2 linked regions of the Mytilus edulis genome follow. The protein of the gene in region 2 purifies or fractionates together with the protein of the main gene of each other region. This does not show direct contact. Links are inferred from orthologs where the notes say so. Each region holds a gene or a part of one and is shown on either strand. Other genes may lie near its edges. The genes, in order: F-box/WD repeat-containing protein 5-like and WD repeat-containing protein 20-like.

Region 1 (11,713 bases), on a different chromosome or scaffold from region 2:
ACGCAAATACGCAGCTGATCTGGAGCTCTGACATTTGTAATATTTCTTAACGTTATTGGTAAATTATTCCACAAGAATGGTCCAGAATACATAAAAGATTTTTTGAACAATTCTGTTTTTGGTTTAGGGAGTATGAGGTTTCCTTGAACAGCATTTCTCAAGGGGTATGGATTTCTGTCTGAAAGATAATGAAATTTGTTAGTAAGATATGATGGGGCATTATTTAATGCACTTAAATGTCATCACTAACTTATGATATTTTATTCTCTGTTCAACTGTCATCCAGTTTAAGTGTTTGAATAAGGGTGCAGAAGGAGCGAATGGGTCTGTTTCTAGTATTAATGTACAAATGTAGCAGCCCTCTTTTGTAATTTTAATATCCTTTTTGAACCCTCACTGCTACAACTACTCCACACTATTCAACAATAATCAATTAGTGGCAAGATATAACCATTATAAAATAATTTTCTGCAGTCTAGATTTAGAAATTTTTTAATCTTTAATAGTAGATATAGTCTTGATGATATTTTTGAGCAGATCACCTCAATTTGGTTTGTCCATCGGCATGTTAGGGAAGGGTCAATTTTAATGCCTAAAAGACTTTCGCATGTGGAAGATTGTATCACTTGATTGTTAATAGTTAAACAACTCTCATTGTAATGAGGCATTGCTCTTTGCTTCGTTCCAATAATCATATATTTTGTTTTATTTTTATTGATGAACATATTGTTATCATTGCACCCTTCCTCTACACAATGTAAATCATCTTGTATAGACCAGTTTTGTATATGCAAACATGTGGCAAAATCTAAATATGTTCTTCTACAAGCATGACAAGACATTTTTTTTTACACCTAAAAAAAACACTGGGGTAAAGCTGATGACCATAACTCAACTCACGATCATCCCAAGATTACAGGTGAAAAATTAGGTCAGTATTTGTATTGTCTGTTAAAATGTTTCAGTGAAGATAAAGGATTACAAGGAGATTTGATATTTTAATAACCAAAAACGACATCAACAATAGCCTGGCATATTTATGACATGTGTGAATAAAAATTCATGTTGACTTGTGTTTTCTTAACAAATTCAGAAAATTTACAATTTATATCATATATAGTGTTGTCAAATTATATATAAAGTATTTATTTGCAAATTTGGCTATGTAAAAAATTGTAGCAAATATACGGAAGATGTAATAAAATAAAATATTTTTCCCAACAATTAGCATTACTTTATTGTTGTACATGATTTTGGCGTTTCAATTTTTAATGTTTGCTTTATTTTTGGTGTGTTTAATTTTGGCACTTTCATCGAAGGCAACAAATTAACCAAAATAACCCAATTTACAGTAGTAAACAGGATGAATAAGAGGAATTCAAAGTGTAAATATAGTGATCCTGTAACTTATTTATTGTGGGTCATACTGGGGGTACTTTCATGAAAAATAATGGTAAAAATTCTTGTCAAATGATGTAAATTTTGGTACATGACAATAAAATGTAACTTCCTAAGACAATGAAAAAATCGACTGATTTAAACGAATCATGTTAAATTTTTTCCAAAAATGACAGTAACAATTATAATATAAGCGGTACCTCGAATGACCGAATAACACTTGAAATTTTAATATTAATACACATTGGTGACTTTAAAACATTGATTATTAAATAATAGTATATTATCGATGTATTTTATAACTTACAAATGATTTACAGAAAGCAGGTAAGTTCATAAAGATCTTTTTAAATTTAGTGTGTACATCCAACATGGTGACCACGGAAATCACAATAGCCACCATGTTGGACAGTGTTGTATGCACACACAAAAAATAAAATGATCTTTGTGAACTTATCTGCTTTTTGTAAATCATTTTTAAGTTATTAAATACATCGATAATGTATTATTATGGAATAATCAATGTTTAAAAGTCACCAATAATGTGCTAATATTAAAATTTCAAGTGTTATTCGGATAATAACAGTGTTATTCAGTCATTCCTGTTACCCTAAGGCCTAAAAAAAAAATGTTGTGTTTCCGGTCACCCGACCGACCGTCCTTCAGACCCCCCGACTCAAAAGTTTTTAAAGCTGATGTGGGAAAAAAAAAAAATTTGTATACTACCGACCGTTTTTTCTGAAAGAAAATAAAAAATTCTAAGTCCCTCGATCTTTTTATCGCCCCAAAAGAAAACAACGCTAATTTTAAACTCGAGGCTTATTTTTAGAATGTACTGGAAAGTGGAATCTAATTATATATGCGGGAGCATGCGCAGTAGTTATTTTCGTTTGTCAGTGTTTGAACATGTCAACACAACGCGTCCTATTCAATGTTCAACGCGGAAAGTGTGACCATTTCTAAATTTTACAGAAAGTAACACCTTTTTTGACATTAGCAATGAAATTCATCCAATGTCTAACAATAAACATCGATGAAAAAAAAATACACAACACAAATTTTGGCAAAAATGACTGGGGATTGATGACAATAACACAACTGTTGGAACAATGCAATCTTTTGGAATTAAATTTATCAAATTTTCATGCCAGACCCTTCTTCAAAATGAACATGATATTAATCCATCTGAAACTGGTCAGCCAATCAACGCTTTAGACATTCTGATGAAAAGCCACAGATGCTTTGCCAAAAGAAAGTGTCCTGCCAGGTACAGTGTATATGATATATTTGTCTATCTGTAGGTTTGGGATGATGTTTGGTTCATGTTCCTATAAATGAATCTGCCCCACATCTTCTCAATTTCTTTCTCGGACAATCCCAAACTTTTGGTCCGGAAATAGGGGAATTGGGTTTAAAAAGCTTATTTCTTGGGGAAGTGCTGCCCAAAATTTTTTTTAGGTTTGGACTTAAATTTTTTTTCGGGGGTATTTTAAAAGGGGGTAAACTAAAAGTTATTTCAGGGGGATTTTAAAAGGGATAAACTAAAAGTTATCTCGGGGAGATTTTTTTAAAGTGGGTAATCAATCTCTTTCTATTAAATCCCAAACTAGTGTCCATGCCTTTAAACAAAACCGAGACAGCAATGAAGCATAATATTATAAAAAAAAAACAAAAACAAAAAATAAACAAAAACAAAAAACAAAAAAAAACAAAAAAAAAAAAAAACCTACCTACCGTCCCTTAAAAATTTCATGGGGGTGATCGGAAACACAACATTATTTTTTTTTAGGCCTAATATGAGACCTCTGACGAATCACAATTATGATATTTTGATGAATGACGATAAAATTTTGATCAATTTGACGCTAATGGCAACCAAAAGTGACCGTTTGATGTCTGACAGTAAAGGGATTTACTAACCTAAATTATACATAAAAATTAAATTAAAGGGAAAATTCACGATTTTTTACTTATGGTTTAAATATGTTCATTATGACATAATATATATATTCACAAAGTTTTATCGCTATATGTGCAGTAATAAAGGAGAAATTCAATAATTAATGAAAAAATATCAACTACTTCCTGTAGGTCGTGACGTTTTCTCCTGATTTTTGCATGCCGGGATTTAAAATTCAATCATTAAAAGTCTTGGTTTTTAATCATATTTTAACGTAATCGTAAGCGCGCCGATGACTTATGCTTTATCTAATAACCATCCGATAATAAGAAGATAAAACGCACAGACGTTCAATTGTTCTCATTCGTGAGATAAATTATCTATGTTAAACGTATATATTCGAATTATTTTTGTAGACAACACAAAAAGTTATAAATTTATATTTAATAAATGCATTTTCGGACTGATAAGGTGAACAAATTAAAGTACAATAATCTGTAAAGACAATATGTTGGTGTACTATTATTGACCTTTTACTATCTCTGCTATGGCTAGGTTTATACGATGTGTGTATTCACGGTTCTGTGGCAATACTCGTAGATGGCTTGTTGAAAGGTAAATTGTTATTTGCACTTCGGTATTTAACCACGCCTCTAGGGCACACCTTGCCAGGTGTGACTGTCTATTCGGATCAGTGGTAGCATTTAATACACACATTAAAAATACATATTCAAGTTGGTGACAAATAAAAATTGGTCGCCGTGGAATTATTTAATTATATTTGGTGCTATTATTTATTTGAATTCAAATAAGTTAATTTACTAAGAAATACACAATTTTCGGTTAAAGACGGGAAACTTAATTCATATGTCAGAATGAAATGATATACAAGTCTTGTCCTTGATTTATGTCTCATAAAAAAGGGGGACTTAGAAATTAGAAATAGCTTTACTAAATCATTTTTATTTGTCTTTATTAGGTGAAAAAATGTACGAGAACACTTACATTTAGACTTTTGAAAGCCATGTATTAATTAATATATGAAACTATCTGAAGATAACTCTACCGAAGCGGAATATAATATGTACGAATAAAGAAAAAAATATTTTTGTAATGGAATCGAAAAATTACGAATAGATATTCTTTTCAAGTGTGATAAACGTCAACCAAATTTATTCATAATCGGGAACGTCCTTATTAAAATCTGAGACAACTATAATAATCGTCGTCTCCCAACGTATATATATACTTAAATAACTATTTGATCAACGATGTTTAAAATTAAAAGACAACGAATTTAATGTTATCTTTCCCTATTTTTGAATGTTATTATAAGTCTGTTCAACTTGCAAGAATACCCCTAAAGCGGACAAATATCCGAGAAGCAGTTTATTCTTTAAATTGATGTCATTGAATATCAAGAAAGAAAATAAATCCCGAAATTGATACTCAATAGTTTTCCTAGAAAATATTCACATTCCTTGGGGATTATTAGTGTACGTCCAGTTGCATATATTTTACATGAATGTTGGAACAATTGTGATGATGACGAATTTCGTCCTTTATTCGAGAACAATCTAATTGATATATAAATCTGTGAGTTTACTATATTCTTAACTTCGATGAACCAAAGCAAGTTATAAATTGACCTGTATTTAAATCAAATTGTTTCTTTTTTCTTCTTCTTCTTTTGGTATACAATAGTCTATCGAATTCGTTGATTACATACTGTTGGCAGACGTGGACTAGTCTATTTACAAAACTTTTACCACAATTTACACAAAATGTATGTTTCTTTCTTATGTTCAATGTATACATGTATACATATTTTAAATTGCGCTACTGACTATAGTTCCGTAACTTTCTACCAGGCGTATGTATACACGAATCGTCGACAAGTGCGCACATTTTTTTATATCAATAATTGTGGTATGTTCTAATCTGTCCTAAACTATTGACAACGAGTATATATTACATTTTCCCAAATTAACCCTTGGAAAAATATGTAAATAGATTTGTATTTCTTCAATTATTTTTTTTCGTATTTTTTTTAATTTATAAATAATATTCTTTACACCAGAAATGTTATTTATAAACAAGCGTATGAGTTCAGTAATGGCTAGTATATTATATCACTTTCGGACACGCAAGACAAAAATGTATATTATACATGCACCTGATAGTTCAAAATGGAAAGTTATAAGTAACGGTCGTGTACACTGATCAATACCTACAGAAGTGAAACGATGCATGAACTTGCAAGCCCGCCGGACAGGAAATCGATTGAATACCTGGACGTGTCACCTTACACCCCTTCCAATACCTTTGGGAGTAATACCTTTAGCCATGCTGGTGATCAGATGAGAGAAGATCCGAATTTATTTAAATAAAGTTTATTACTTGAAAGAATTATGAACGAATTAGATTTTCGAAAACAATTTCCACGGAACACTTATTTATCATTTTATGATTTGAACTTTGACTTTTTAACTAATTACAATATTATCAGTTTAAAAATAACAGACTATATGGTTATTTAAAAACATAAGACCATTTTCCGTATCAAGTTAGTCAGTCAGATAAAACAACCGTACGATTGACAAGATATCGACACGCAATTACGACTACATCGTTTACTGTAGTTTTGTTCCTTTGTGGTTTATTGACATATCGGGATTTTTCATCGGAGAAGGTGACAAGATGGCGGAGAGTAGAGATCTGATACTCAAAATTTAAAATCGATGGTGATCTCTTATTTAGCGGAATAAAACTTTAATATCTATAAATTTGAGCATTTTTATACAGAATGGACATAATATCAATTTTTGATTTTTTTGCGAAGTTTCCCTTTAAGACCATCAAATTTTTCTGAATGATATATATAAATTTAGGAAGATCTCTTGCAAAAAAAATCAATTTCTGAACTGTTCATTTAAATCCTATTTGAGCTATTTAATGACAAACGGGTTATATTGTTACCTATTTGGGTAACTAGTCCCAACCTATTTACATAAACTTAAAATAATTTCACTTTCTATCACATAAATTTAGTTTTATAATACCTAGAAATTATCGGCCCACTGGTTGTCAATTTCCAAGTGTATTATAGAGTTCAGATCTAAGATCGATGGTTCAATATCTCTAAAAGATAGTGAAGTATTATAACGTGATGATCTATAAAGATGCAAGAAATGGAAATTATGTCATTGTTTTCAATCTTGAGTCTGTTGATCGATTTATTTTTCTTCCACCATTTATCAGGGGAGATAATAAAAATACTGGAATCTGCTAATTTACGTCATGCTAATCCGGCTATTTTCAAGACAATGAGACATGTCCTTTAACTATCTCAAAACTAGTTTTATACGTACACGTATATATGTAAAGCAAAATATTTTCCTATGAAATATTGTCACCAAGACAATATTTCATGGATATGTATCATGAAATATTGTTCTCATCTATGAAAAATGTCCAGCGAAGGACAAATTTTCATAATGAAATTTTTACTGTATATATAGACAATTTTTTCATAGATGAATATAATTTTGTACTATGAAACTTTATTCTGTCGAAGGGAGGTCATAGGCAGTGTATATTGAGACAAAATTTCATATACAGTTTGTCATGAAATTTTGTCTCATGAAATGGGGGTATTGTAAAAGAAGGACAATTCAGTACTACCATACCTCCAAAAGGCGCTGCTGTGAAAAATTCGTCAACCTATTTATGAATATTATTAGAACATTCAATTTGAAACAAGTATAAGTGATCGTCAGTACATCACTTATATTTATTCCGTATAATATCATGTTAGACAATTCTTAAATGTATCAAAAGGGCATTAGCTACGGCGCGAAATATATAGACGTTACGCGCGATGTTCGTACATGTAAGCGTTACCAGAGACATATATATGTGTATATATGTCTCTGGCGTAACACAACGTCGCGAATATTTCGTAACGTTCAAACAAAAATTCGACTGAAACGTTGTTTTTTTAAAAGCAAGTGCGACATTCTTATAAGACTCCGCAAAATCGACGGCGCTTTTTAACTACTTATCGAAAATTTATGTATTTTAGTTTTTTGAACAATTAAGAAAAATAACATTTTAAAAAAGCATAAAATTCTACCATTATTAGAGCACTGATAAGCTTAACGTCTAAAAAAGGCGGTGCGACAACTGTAAGCCTTTGAGAAATCGCTCAAAAATTACCATATATCACTTTTCAGGATATTTGTCTTTCAATTCATAAAATTAAGCAAATTAACATTGATGTAGTAAATACAAAAACTAAACTTTTTCCATTTTAGATAAATGTTTTTTGATTCTCAAATCTGGAACCCCAATTTTTTCCCCGTGGTTTGCCCTTGTAGTATGGAACGCTTTTATTTTTTATGACGTCATCATAACGTCATAAAAAAATGCGAAACAAACTGAAGGAACCTTTCTGTTAAATAATGGAAAAAAACATTTTTCAAAATATTAAATAGTTTAGACGAAAATCATAGTTTCGTGGTTACAATTAATGAAATATGTTACCAAGGACAACCTAAAAATAGCATTTTTTTTATAAATGAAGCTTGTCGCATGCAGCATTAAACATAGTTTCAACGATTATTTTTTCGTTTTTATTTTTAAAAAAACATTATTTTTTAAAATGCGTATAATTAGTTATGAATATGATATCACAAAATTATATATTTTGGACTTGCATCTTGCCAACTACACCGATTTTCCAATGAGGTGCGTAACGTCATATATATATTTTTTAATAATATATGATTTTTTTTGTTCAATCATTAATGAAAGTGAAATGGCGAAATAAACCTTCTTTTAAAGCAGCCAGTATAGTTCGATTTTGTCAAAATAGGCTAAGAAAAATTGATGATAAATCGGCATTCACTTGGATGTGAACAGAGACATATATACACATGTGTATATTTGTCTCTGATGTGAATAAGTCGACCGTATTGAATCCATATTCATGTGAACTTCAATTTAACCTCTAGCTAGAGATGGATAACGCATCAGTCATGCGTACTGGATTATTTCAAGGGAAAGAATGTCAACTTTGAAAGTGAAACAATGGTAAATTATTCAATTGACTGATTCTATCCATATAAAAGTCATTCAGTTATACAGGTAAAAACGATGATTAACATATATTTTTAATCTATGATATGAAAATAATTCAGACCTAGACAAAAATCCAAATGGACGAGTCCAGGTTCTATTTTTATCTATATGTATGTTTTTATTGCTTATATATGGCCATCGGAGGTATACGGAGTTCAACTCGATAGTTAATTATATGGCGTCTCGACTAAAATGCACACGAAACGAAGCTTCATATTATCGAGCCTCTGCATTGTAAGTTGATTATTTTAGACTTTATATAATTTGGATATCATTTGGATAACTGTTTAACATTGCTATAAATCAAATAGAATAATTTTACCCAAATCATGGAACATAAATTTGACAGCTAGTGCCTCTTTAACCATTTATAATGTATCTCTGTTACTATGTTATTAATATTTATATATCTAACTGTATGTAAATTTAAAACTAGATTATGTTCAAATACATATTTGTTTGAAATGTAAAATACATATACTTGCTTTGCAAAATAATTTCAGTTATAGATCTAAAAATGTGCATGCTCTATACTTGCGTGTGTGTATTGTTTTAAATTTTGTAATAATTTGTTTAAAAATATTATTATGGACAGAATTTAACAGTGAAATAATGTTATAAAACTGTAGTGTTGTCAACGGTTAACCGATTGAACGACCAAATACCGAATACCAAAAACGCTAACCGGTTAACCGTTTTTTTTTTTGTTTTTTTTTTTTAGATTTGATATAAATTTGTATTGAAATCATTAAATAGGTATGTTTTATTTAAAAATTGTGGTCGTGGTAATTAATTTGACAGTTCAATTGTCCAGTATATTGATTGCTATTATTGATAAAAAAAAAACATAAAATTAATTAGAATTAATTTTGTCTATCAGCTTGGGGCAAAATCTTAAGAAAACATAATTAGTATACATGCTCTTTTACGGCGTGGGACGTTTGCGCTTTTTCATAGGACATTTGCGCTTATTTTTTTAGGACACTTGCGCTTCAAATCATAGGACATTTGCGCTTTTTAAAAAAGGACATTTGCGCTTTTAACATAGGACATTTGCGCTTTTGCAATATTTGGTTTTTATGACGATCCTGCTTTTTAAACCGGTCTTGGAACTGGCATGTGTGACCTGGCAGAGTTTAAGTAATATTTTTTTTAAAACACATTTCATATAGAACATACATGTCATAGCACATTGATATGTGTTTAAAAGTCTATATACACTGGACTAAAAGTAAACATTCTAAAGACATAAAAACACGCACAGTCATCACAGGTCAGTTTTCGCTTGATATCTGAAGCCAAAGGAGTGAACATATTTAGTATTTCGCCCACATTTCAAATACATATTAAAGTTTCCCTTTTCTCAATTTTTGACAGGGGTGCCTGTTCATCAATATTACGAATCTTAATTTAATTCACAGAGACATAGACTGTTTCAATGATACTCTTCAAAAAGATATAAAACAGCAGGATGAGTCGAGTCGAACTGTTCACTTTTGTGGGCAAGGGAAGGATTCTAGACCATTTGTCGTACTAATGACAAATATTAGTTAAATTTATTAAAGTAATGATAACGTCTGATTAAAATTACAGGTAGACGACTGTAAGAAAAAAGCGCAAATGTCCGGTCATGTAATACAGGTGAATCAAAATGTAAAGCGCAAATGTCCATAGTATTTGAAGCGCAAATGTCCTATCGTTTTACAGGTAAAAAAGCGCAAACGTCCTGTGCCCGTTTTTTAACAGATGTATGTTTCATTATAATACGTATATATAGTTTATAATACAATAAGATGTTAAAAACCTTATTACAAATATTGACGAAAATATATTAATATCAGATTCTCCCCTATCGGTTACTTTCGACGAAAATAAAATTTCACAGACTTTGAAAAGTCTCAAATCTGGAAAAGCCTGTGGTACTGATGGCATTCCTCACGAATTCCTTAAATATGGTGGGGACATCCTGTTGAACTCCCTTGTGCATATTTTTATAAAAATTACAGATCTAGAAATAATCCCAGATGAATGGCATAAAGGAATCATTATACCCATACACAAAGGTGGGTCTACACACTCTGAGTAACTACAGAGGTATAACTCTAACATCAAATGTATATAAGGTAAACTCATACCACATCTTCTTATATCTATATGTAGGGTACTATAAATAAGGCCTTCACACTTCGTTCAACTTTAAGAACCGGTTAACCGGTTCATCGGTCGAACGATTATCCGAGTAACCGGTTAGGCAAAAGTGTACGATTTGACAACACTATATAATAGACATTATTCACAATGAAATATTGTCACGGCCAGTATTTCATGAAAATAAGCAAAAATTTAAATCCATCGAAAATAACCGGCTATACGATAGTTTGCAAGAATGATATAGAGCATGATCAATCCATGTTAGAAACAATAAAGAATCGACCGAAACCAACATTACAAGAAAAGGTCAGATAATTTCACGGCTTTGTTGGTTACTTTAAAAAGTTTGTGAAAGACTTTAGCAAGATTACAAGGCCTTTGACAGATTAAATGCCAGCACCACAAATTCTAAGAGGTACAAGGCTAACTACAAACAACAAAAAAAATCGTGTATGGGATGAACAACAAGATAAAAGAGAGGAGTAGAATACACAAGGGAATCATTTTACAACTTGGAATCACAACCACAGAAGTCACCAGTGCTTGGTTTTCCACAATATAACCAACCTTTTAATCTGCATACAGACGCTTCCATGTTATCACTTGGTGCTGTATCAGTGAAAGCCATATGCAAATAGCAACACATTTGGCTATACATGCAATGTTTGTCAATGTCAACGACAGACGATGATCTATTCTTGCCACCTAAGTGTATGATAAACATTAAATCACAACAGCAGAACGACATTATCATTAAGTAAGCATCCGTCAGACTGATGAAACGGAGTCAGAATAGGAATTGGAGCAGGAGTAATATATGATAGTGTTTGAGACGACACAAAGAGTAACAGTGACATAATGCTACAAGTGTGCCGGGAAACAAGCTCTCATTTCTACTAGTGACGATTACGCTAGCGTTGAAGTAGGACAGGACTGCGTTTTTGCACTCGATATTAATGCTGCAGAATCAACCCCTATTTGTGACGATGGTTAAAATGTAGTGACCGTCCATGTTAGTGGAAAGAACACTTCAGTTAAGGAAGATGGCATTTCGTTGACTGATATGTCACTTGAACAGGCACCATCACAACCGATGCCACTACCACTGCAACTTCCTACACA
Region 2 (11,713 bases):
GCACCATTTTCTTGCATTTTGTAGATAAATATATAAGCTTCATGAAATATTACATTTTATTGAAAATAAAACATGATCTTACAAGATTCAAGCATTTAAAAATATACAAATTTTGCTGAATCGGCACTTTTTCAAAACCATGCAATTTCAACCTGTTAGTAGGGGTATTGTGAAATCTCACAACTTTTTGAATTATCATAATTTCCTTTCATTTGAAGTTGTTAGTTAAGATATTTGTTATCATTAAGCTGTATTTTTTCTATAAAACAAAAAAAAAATCAGGTCAAAATACCCTAAAATAGGCTTGAAATGGCCATTTGTCAGTACAGAAATAGACAATTATCGAATGTTCGGCATACACAAATAATGGCTGAATATTTTTTCAAAATATTTTGCACAAATAGTTATTACATATAAGGTATCTAAAATACAAAATATCAGTCTGATTGGAATATTTTGGATTTGGACCATTTTGCATGATTTTATCACAGACTGGCTCTTAACAGTGTTATCATGATACGTGATATATGTCATTTTCCGGATTTTTGATCGGTAGTGAAACGTTTCAGTATTTGTTTTTGTTTTTTTCGTGTGGCCGTCCGTCTGTTATTCAGTATTTGTACGAGAACACATATGAAACTTTGCTTTCGACAATTTTGAATAAAACTTAACTGTTCACCTTTTATTTAGGGGCTCAATTAAGCAAAGGAAGTTCCCTTTGTATTATGAATCTTTTATGATATCAGAAATTCGTTACCGACTGAATCAGCTGTTGGATCATTTATTTTTAAAAACGTCTCCCGGCCGATCGTACGAGAACATTGTGGTCAATGCCTTAGTAGTTAAACACTCCCATTCGTTGTAGCAGTGACTTTCTATACTAAGTATATACTAGTATAGAAAGTCTCTGGTTGTAGTTATATACATGTCTGTTCAGCTGTCAACAATATTGAAATTCAAGGTCCTCGATAAAAAAAAAATTCTTGCGTTCTATGATCTTGCTTTATATGGTTTTTTTTTAACTTACCAGTTTGATTTCTAACTAAAATATCTTTAAATACAGATAATAATTGTTTGCATAAAAATTGCTTCCAGGATCCAGCAATACTGATGTTTCTTAAAGTAAGGAAATCGAAGGAAAACGGGTCATTTTTAGCCACTGATTCTATTTAGAAAAAAATCCGCGGTCACAATGTATTTAATGTTAATAATTATAGGTCAAAGTACGGCCTTAAAGACGGAGCTTTGGCTCACCCAGAACAACACTCTCAGCAATCTCAGCTTGTTTTTGCATAAAATTTGCTTCCAGGTTCAAGCAATCCTTAAAGTAAGGAAATCAAAGGAAAAAGGGTGATTTTAAGGCATTTTACTGAGAGAAAAAAATTTGTTTTTTTCAGTCGGCGGCCCCCGAACCCCTGCCTCCTCTGAATTAGAACCCTAGTTACGGCCCTGATAGCATATTAATCCTGAATACACCGTTTGGTGGTGCGCCTGTCAGATGCGGAACGTACAGATAAGGTAATCGGTAACAGGTGAATATACTATTGGTATCGGTATCGGACTCGAACCGGAACTTCTTAATTATTGGCAATATTAATTACGTGGAAAACAAAAGGGCCTGGAGTGGTGTAATTTTTAATCTACATCTTTGTACTGTATTAGTTATATATAAAGTTGAATTCTTTGATTCGTCGTTTTTACGTGATGACGGCTGACAAATTTTAGTATTATAGATATAGACAATATTTATTAGCACAAACTTCTTCTTCTTCAGGAAGTCCACCCTATCTGCAGGGTCACCGCATTTAAAAATTTTGTTTATTTCTAAAATAGCGTTATTTAAAATTCTATCTACTGGTTAAAATTTAAAATAATAGTAACAGAGTTAGAATAGGATAAAACTAAAAATTAGTTAAAAACAGGAACTTGTATGTACACTAAGCATTCAGTAAAATTATAAAATGGATAAAAGTAATATCTGATCAGTTGTTTAAATTTCTCTTAGCAAAGGAAAGTGAAAGGAACTACTAATCTGTACTAGCATGGAAGTATTATATTGACAATATAATACTTCCATGGTACTAGTAATTGGTTAAATTTATTGACTAGTATGGTTTCATAATTAGTTTAAATATATGTTATTTACATTAAATGGTTATAACCCGAATAATCCAGTCGTTATATTATGATCACTTCGATCACTCCATCCTCGAGAAAAGTAGTGGATAGAGGGGCGGAATTATTCGAGTTAAAATGGTTATGGCATACAAAATTAGGACAATAAACTGACAATAGTTAATTTGATTATAATTATATTAGCGTGACAGTGGTATTCATTAACACATTATTAATGTTCATAAACAATTAAAAAAAAAGAACACAAACAAAAAATTAGGTTGCATATTAAAAGAAATACAAGTTATACAGATGTTCTCAATAAAAAAACAATCATTAATATACGTTAGAAAATTCAATAAAAAAAAATTCGGGAAAATTTCCCGAATTTTTCATTGTACTAATGAACTCAAAATCGTTCAATTTTTTTTATGTCATGTTTTGAAATCCCGGACCTGCGCAGAAATATATTTATCAGTCTAGTAAAATATAGGTATCTCTCTATCCATGCTTTGATAATTTTTTTATTTTGTCCTTTATTTGCATACATACGTCTTAGTATGCTATAAATCAAATATTAAAATTTGTGAGTCAAATCGGTGGTTATGGATTTGACAGCTAATGTCCCTTTAAGGTGGCTCGTGGGTACAAAAATTTTAGCAAAAAATTAAACCTCTATTTTTTCATTACAAATTTTATTTATTACACTATTAGTTGTTACTTTATGATATGGTACAAAAAACAACCCAAAAAAATGATTTGGTTTGGCCCCAGATGACTTTAAAAATTGAAAAAGCTCCAAATTATCTCCCTTTGCTGCAAAAATGCCATTTTTTGGCCTTAAATTTGAAATATCTTTTTTAACTCATCGGTGACCTATATTTTTTATTATTGTTTTCAAATAAGCTGTACATAAACTAAATAATTGTAAAATTTAAGCGATTTCTTATATTAGGTTATTTTTTTATTTCGATATTTCCTCTTTTTCTCCTATTAGTTCAACAGAAAAAAAGGACATTAACAAAAATGTATGCTTCTTCCAGAGGCAGATTTTAGCTTAAATGAACGGTGACCCCATTTTTTTATTTCATTTTTCTTTTAAGTATATGATAAAGTTCATTCATGAAAAAATATAGCGAAATCCTATATTAGAAAAAAAAAATTATTTATACCCAGGAGCCCCCTTAATAAGCATTGATACATAAATTATATATACTAAAAAGTTCTTAAAGAGATTTTAAAATATTTAGCTGAGCTCATAATATAACATTCAGTCAAGATTTCATACGAAGGATTTATATGGGGACGAAGTCCCCAATAACAGTAGAAAATTCAATAATAAAAAAAAAAATCGGGAAAATTTCCCGAATTTTTCATTGTACTAATGAACTCAAAATCGTTCAATATTTTTTTATGTCATGTTTTGAAATCCCGGACCTGCGCAGAAATGTACAATGTACTTCCTTTTCCCGGTCTCGTTTGTATGAAACTTTGAGTAAAATATATATTTATCAGTCTAGTATAAAATAGGAAGGAACGTGCAATACCAATTTCATTTTTAATAATTATTTGATATGAAAAAACGTTACCTGATGATAGCGTTTCTTTGTCTATATTGCATATGACGTCATAATTTGAATAACGTCACAACTAAAATCCCTAACAACAGAACCAAAATCGGAAACGTTACGATATTTCCGTTTCTTATTTTTAACAGTGTTTGGAGGGAAGGACTTCTCACAAAACTTTATGATAACGGTGTTAAAGGTAACATCTGGAATTGGATTAACAATTTTTTAAAGGAAAGACAAGCAAGGTGTGTGATTAACAACCATAAAGGAAGCTGGTTTGAAACCAAAATAGGTCTCCCACAAGGATCAGTTATAGCTCCACTTCTTTTTAATATCTTTATCAAAGACATTTTTGCTAACCTATCATGTAAAAAGTGTAAATTTGCTGATGATGGTACTGTATGGATAAATGGAAAGAACTTGAATGACATGGAGAAACAGGTACAAAAGGATCTTAACATAATCCAGGATTGGACCAAAAAATGGAGAATTAATTTGAGTATTGAGAAAACAGAATATTGTATTTTTTCAAGGAATGGTCCAATAAAGAAAATGAATTTACAACTAGAAGGTAAATTGTTAAAATATAACTGTAATCCAAAAATATTAGGAGTCACGTTAGATGAAAAACTATCATTTCTCAAACACATCGAAAATGTGGAACAAAAGGCACATAAAGCAATTAGCCTACTTAGAATGATCAAAGGAGTTGCAAAAATTTCTACAAAAATTCTACTTCAAATTTACCAAAGTATTGTCCTTTCCACCTTAGAATATGCAAGTAGTGTTTGGCAGACCTGTGAAACCAATATAACAGACAAACTGAACAAAATTCAACGAAAGGGATTAGCTATATGCCTTAATGTTACTCCAACATCAAGTGTAGAGACTTTGGAAGTAGTTTCTGGAATCCTACCAATACATCTGCGTAGAGAAGAAATTGCAACTCGTACACTTGCAAAAATTAATTCGTATGATATCTCCATTCCAATAAAACAAATCCTGGATGACTGGAAAACAATTGACATCCCTGAAAAATATGTATCTCCAGTGGGAAAAATGATTCTTCAGGCAGAAGACATGAAGGTATGTACAGGTGTTGATGTAAATGGTATAGAAGCAGAATTTGAGTTTAATGGGATACGAAGATATAAATCTCCTCCAGATTATTGGAAAAACCTTGGAAATTCCAAATCAAGATCAACAGACCAAAAAAATGTTGGAAAACTCATTATAATGGAAAAATTAAGTCATCTTCCTGCAAATTCATGTATAGCATTTACTGATGGGTCCTGTCTTGGTAGTCCTGGCCCTGTAGGAGCAGGTGCTGTCATCTTTCCATCAAATAATCAACCACAAATTGAAATTAGTAAAGCTGTATCCAAGAAAGGATCAATACTACTCGGAGAACTGATCGCCATTAAACTTGTTGTTGACCACTTTTTAATATCAGAAAACAGACAAAACACAGACTCAATTACACTTTTTTCAGATAGTCAGACCTCAATCGGAATTTTAACTTTAAACTGGAAATCAGAGAATTACATCAAAGTCATAAGAGAAATTAAGAAAAACATGAAAGTATTAATGATGAATGGAATTCCATTAAATTTTGAATGGACACCTGGTCATGCTGATATCCAAGGAAATGACATTGCTGATTCACTGGCCAAAAAAGGAGCTAAAGAAGCTGAAAAAATAGAAGAACCATCAGAAGTAACCAGGCAGGATATAAAACGTGCAGCAAGAGAAAGTGTTTTAAGAAAATGGCAGAACCAATGGGAATCAAGTCAACGTGGCAGAAATTATTACAATTATCATCAAAATGTCTGTCAGAAAATACCAAAAGATTTACCATCCAAATGGTCGTTTTCAATTACTACTAGTTTGAGAACAGGTTATTGTGATCTAAATGATTATAAATCCAAAATTATACCATCATCAGACAAAAACTGTTCCTGTGGAGAGCCAGAAACTGTAGAACACTATCTTTTACATTGTTCTAACTATGAGGAGGCTAGAGAGAGAATGAGAACATCTATTTACTTTATTACAGGAAATATACACATGGATTTAGACACCTTATTAGGAATCGATGAAGAAGACATTAATAGAGACAATCGAAATGAGATATTGTGCCATCTGGAAAATTATTTAACGGAGTCTGGTAGATTCAAAAACACTATACAGCAAAAAACACTATAAATCTATATCAAAATTAAGTCAAAATTTTTTAAGCAGCAGCCACAATTTCAATTAAGTACATGAGTGAACATTACATATGTGAAGAAACTACAAAAGAGGAAACGTACACAAGTGTTTACAGTGTCATTTGGGACACTTACTAAAGACTAAAGACTAAATATTTTTAAAAGTTACAAAAAAATAATTCATACAGACTTCTTCCCCATTTACAGGTAATGCCTGCCTCATATTATCTGCTAAAGATATGGTAAGAAAAGTTGATAATTTGTGAATGAATTTGACCGGTCATCTGAAAATAAGCTTGTTTAGTTATCAAGTGAACATGTAAACAAACACACGTGTTATTGTTTACCTATTTCACGGAAGTTTACATGACGCATGCGTACTTATCTTATCCGGGCACCTGTCGAAAACTCAATTTCAATATGGCGTCCCAAAGTGAGGGCGGAGGAAAAGATGACATTAAAACTCACTTTGTAACCCGGGAAGGGACGTACAAATTGATGCCATTGTCAGAATATTCAAAACCTACCCGAGTTCCCTATAATGGTCAAACTAACACTCCATCCAGAGTGTCATTCATTAATGTAAACGATGGTTCTCCGTCGCCAGATAGGATATGTTTCAACGTTGGCAGGGAATTGTATTTTTATGTTTATAAGGGCGTAAAAAAGGTATATTTTGCAAAGTTATGTTACAGAATATAAAAACAACTTGCATAAAATATATATGTACTTCACAATCACAAAACACCACTCCAGGTATTGTAAATTTTGCACCAGACTTGGAATAAATACACATAAAATTTATGATGAAACCGGTATTTAAAATTGAAGTCCGTTGAGGTTTGAATATTATGGCTTTTACTGACATTTTTTTCTTTTGAAATACTAATGATTAATTTATTAACCCAAATTTGCATTCAAACAAATATCATTGCAGAGGATGCATTGTCATGTTTTATTATGTCTATGATGAATAGACCAATTTCAGGTTTGTCTGCCATAGAAGGAAATAAATGTTTTCCTGTAGTGCTTTGAATGCCAGCAGGAAACATTTGACAACACACAGTAAACCTGTATTGGTATAGAAGAATGCAGGGTTCATATAAATGTTCATATTTATTTTTTTGCAGAATTTGCATTTAATTTGTTAATGGATGTGAATATGGTTTTAATTAATAGCTGCCGATATTCAATGTTTTAGGAGTCAAATTATTATTATTATTTTCTATAAAAAGTCGTAGAACATACAATTATTTTTGATAAAAAATATTACTTTTATTGCATGAAACTTTTTTACACTGAACATTTAACATGCATCATGTTCATTGTAAACAAGGAAAATAACAACCTTGGTATTGGGTACATGAGGCGAAGAACATGATAAACAAAGAAAACAGTCTTATGCTTCTACATTGTATTTTTTACACCTGAAAGACATTCCCAAAATTCTACTATGTAGAAGTAAGAAGATGTGGTAAGAGTGCCAATCAGACAATTCTCCATCCAAGTCACAATTTGTAAAAAGTAAACAATTAAAGATCAAAGTGTAGCCATGTTTGTTAAGGAATATCATATATTATTAAGTAAAAAATGAGGGGTAGGAAAATGTCAGTCATCAATAAAACAGTTACCCCAAAAATACTCATTAACATAATTGTCATAATTGACAATAAAAAACTCTGTATTGTATTGTATCAGCATGATCAAGAGTTCAACATACAATGTATATATACACCTAAAACTCATAAAACATCAACATGATCAACATACACCTAAAAAATCTTTTAAGGACAAATTTAGGTCAAACTCATCCAGTTGTAATTGGAAAAAAATATTGTGTATTGCTATGCAGTCGAATCGTGAAAAATATGAACAAACATATAAGATTTTGTATTTATTCTTCAGGCTGCAGATTTGACAAAACCTATAGACAAGAGATTATACAAAGGGACATTTCCTACATGTCATGATTTTAATAGAATGATTATATCCAGTGAGAGTGTTAGATTGTTAGTAGGCTTTACTGCAGGACAGCTACAGCTTATTGATCCTATAAAGAAAGAGCTGGGAAAACTTTACAATGAAGAAGTTTGTATTATTAAGTATTTAAATGTCTACTCTGAAAGAGGGGGGAAGGGAGGGATACATATTATGCCCCATGTTTTGTACCTCCTTGCTTTTACTACGACTTGATTATAAGTGTTTCTATCCACCTTTTGCAGTTCATTCAAAATTCCTACACAATGCAATTTGTATTAAAAAACTTATAAAGCATATATATATATATATGTATATATTTATATATCATACAATTCTTTTAGACAATTTAATACGATTTCATTTCTGCCTTTAATCTTTAAATCTAAAATGGGTAGGAGTTACTGTACAATAATCTGTTGATTATGATTTTTACCTAATTTTTTGTTTTTATAAATAAAATAATAAGACTTTGATGTTTTAATGAAATAATTTGCTTAAAAAGTGTGGTGAGGGAAAACCATGGTATATTATATGCAAATTGATGTACCATACTTTGCTAATTAAATATGCAACTCAACTAGAATCCAAAGGAAAGAAGGCGGAGCTTAGCTATGGTACAACATATTCATTTTCATGATTTCCATGGCTGAAGCTCCACCTTTTTTTGAAAGGTGTCCGCCTTTGAAATTTTCAGGAAACTGAAAAATGTACTAAAAGGTCAAGATCTTCATTTGTTTTCATTTTATAACAAAAAGCAATAAATCATGTGTACCCCATCTCAAGAAACTTTTTTCAAACTATATAGAATTGTTACGAGTTCCCTTAATTTTGGAAAAAATATTAAATGTTTCTTCTTTCACTTGTGAAAAAAAAAAAATGTAATACTATCGTTTCCTTTGCTAAAATTCAATGAAATTACGATTCAAATAGGGGGTAACTATACATGTACATGTAGAAAAGAAATAAATATCGGGAACAAAAATCTGTGAAAAACATAATTTTTTATTTGCGATCAATTAGGGGGGTGTACACTATCTGCGGTCCCTTGATCCGACACTGTTTAAATACAGTGTTTTATCATTAAAATTGTGTTTTAATAAATAATCTAAAAATCAAAATAATGAAATAACGGAAGAAAAGCAGTTTGTACGAAAACTATACATGTATAAATATGCATTTTTCAATTAGATGAACAACCTGTAAGTTATGATTAATTTTATGATACCTTGAAACTCAACAAAAAACAATAATCTTACCGCCATTAGAATAATAATTTAATCCTTGTCCCTGGAATCCGACATTTTTATTTACTTTCTGATGACCTTATGAAATTACCTGCCTCTACGATCATACACGGGGCGCAAAACTAAAAAATCGGGAAAATCCGACATTTTCTTGACTTTCTTCAAATTTGGGGATTCTATTACATGAAACACACAGAAGATCATACCGAGGCGCAAAAGTGACTTGCACGAGCTTCCATTTCATTGGATAAAACTGTAACGTGATCAATTTACAATATTAGTTCAAGGTCTTGAAGCTGTCAATCATTTTATTTATATTACAAATTTTATATACCCTGTGTCTTACTCATTAACATATTTAAATAAACTCATCCTTCGGATTCGTTTGTTTAAATATATGTTAATTGTAAGAACCATGTTATATATAGTACTTAGCTAGACAAGATCTGCATATATACATTGTACATATAATACATGTAGGTCAAAAGTGCTGATAATTGCATTGTCAGTCCACTTCTTAGTTATTTGCCCTGATGTACAAATGTACATGTACCCTTTGATGGGGATGGGGGATGGGGGTATTACAGCGTCCTTCACAACAATATAAAATGTGGAAATTTTTGGAAGGAGTTAAACCGCCGGACAAAAAGTTAAGATAACTGAAAATCAAAAGGAAGATCGAAATAAAGTATACGAAAGTGACAAAAGGAAACGCAATTACCAAAAATCATGGGAAAAAGATCGTGAATGGTTGCATTATATAGTAGATCGAATATTTCTGGACAGCGCTCCAGACGACCTATAGTCAGGCACCCTATGGTCGTCGTGAGGATTGCGATGACGTGGAAGACAATGTTGGATATTTTTTCTGTCCTTGATCCTGATTTTGATAAAGAAAATTATTGAGATTACCAAAGCCTTTATCAAAATCAGAATAAAGACTATTCCTTTGTTTAACTTGTGTAAAGGAAAGCACTAAAAATAAAATTAAACATCTGTTATTTATATTAGTGTTTGTCAAATTAATGTCATTTTTGCAGGACCAGTAGATTTGGAGCCGGACCAGTAGAGTTTTCAGTCCACTGGTCCAGCTGGCCAGTACACAAAAAAGCTTAAATTCGACCCCTGACCTAGTTATGTAATTTAGGCAAAAACTCTTAAAGACGGAGAGAAACTGAAAAAGAAGAAAAAAGATCAGCAATACAATATAAAAAAACAATATATCTAAATCATGAACTATATTCTAGTCTTTCAATATAAATGTTGAAGATTGGCCATTGTTGAATATATTTATAATGTATCAAGCTGAGACCTAGTTTAGGAATTACTGCCACTTGCTGAGACAGTCAAAGTGAAGAGTGCAGTTCATGTTCAAAACAAGGAATTTTTGTCTCTTATATCATCAGGATCATTAGATTCCTTACTTAAGGTGGTACCTAACACTACAGGGAGATAACTCTGTAAAGTTAGCTAAACGTGGTTTAATTACGTTGTGTTGGAAAAGGAATATTAAGCTTCTCAATGATCAAAATTGGTGTTTGTCAAACTACTATATAACCAGTGTAATTTTTCTGACAAGACGATTGGTTCAAAATTTTTGAATTTTTTGAATTTTTGTTAAAGGGTCAAAGTAAATAATTTTAAAAAATTTTATGAAAATTAAACGAGCCAAATTAATTTTAGTGAAAGTGTTGGGTACCACCTTAATTTACTCCAGGTTTATGTAGCTTTTATTAGGTAAAACTAAACCTTCCTGTATAAGAGAGGCAAACTATACCACAGGGACATTCAAACTCATACATTTAACTGACAATGCCAAAAAAGAAAAAGACCAACAGCTAACAATAGTACACAAAATATAACATAACATAGAAAACTAAAGACTGATCAAAAGGAACACCAACAAAAACTGGAGGCGATCTAGGGTGCTCCTGACGGGTAAAGAGATCCTACTCCACAAGTGACACCTTGGAGAAGACATTACTAAGTTGTAAAACCTGTGTCTAATCCATTTGTCATTTTGAACAATAAAATATGTTTAAACTAAACAAGTGACACCTGTCATGTTGCTCATGTTAAAACAAACCCGGTAATAAAGCTAGTTTTGTAGGTCACATTAGGGAAAAGGGGACAGGTGTAATGTAAAAGGGGACATAATGTAAAAGGAGTTTTACTTCCATCAATGGCATCATGTCCATGTTATCAAATTCATTGACATAATTATAACATACCTAGGCCTGTATTCTTGTTACTAAAAGTGAACTAAGACATTAAAAATCAGACTAATCATGTTGGTACAATTGGGTTCATTATCATATAGCATTAATATGTTTCATCAAGAATATGCTTTTAAATTGCATTTAGTGTCTAAGATATAAATTTTTTTTTTCTTCAGAGATTAATAGACAAAACCAAAGTCACATGTATAAAATGGATCCCTGGATCAACCAATCAATTCATAGTATCACATTCTAGTGGCCAGATGTATATTTATAATGAAGAACTGCCGTGTGGCCCCACCCCTCCTCATTATCAACCGTTTAAACAAGGAGACAGTTTCTCAGTGTTCACGTGTAAAACAAAAAGTACCAGA

The links.
Region 1: the proteins of WD repeat-containing protein 20-like (region 2) and F-box/WD repeat-containing protein 5-like purify together in Homo sapiens (co-immunoprecipitation; 3 studies listed by BioGRID and IntAct, counting the BioPlex papers as one, with this or other methods). This does not show direct contact. The link is inferred for Mytilus edulis from reciprocal best matches to the Homo sapiens genes WDR20 and FBXW5.

The regions. Positions count from the first base shown.
Region 1 is NC_092345.1:10,322,197-10,333,909, forward strand, and holds the start of F-box/WD repeat-containing protein 5-like, read right to left. Parts: upstream 6,574-11,713; 5' UTR 6,361-6,573; intron 1-6,360. UniProt on the Homo sapiens protein: Substrate recognition component of both SCF (SKP1-CUL1-F-box protein) and DCX (DDB1-CUL4-X-box) E3 ubiquitin-protein ligase complexes.
Region 2 is NC_092346.1:2,398,771-2,410,483, reverse strand, and holds the start of WD repeat-containing protein 20-like, read left to right. Parts: upstream 1-6,279; 5' UTR 6,280-6,316; coding exon 6,317-6,565; intron 6,566-7,801; coding exon 7,802-7,984; intron 7,985-11,515; coding exon 11,516-11,713. Other genes in the region: uncharacterized protein, read left to right, coding at 4,116-5,891. UniProt on the Homo sapiens protein: Regulator of deubiquitinating complexes. Activates deubiquitinating activity of complexes containing USP12. Anchors at the base of the ubiquitin-contacting loop of USP12 and remotely modulates the catalytic center of the enzyme.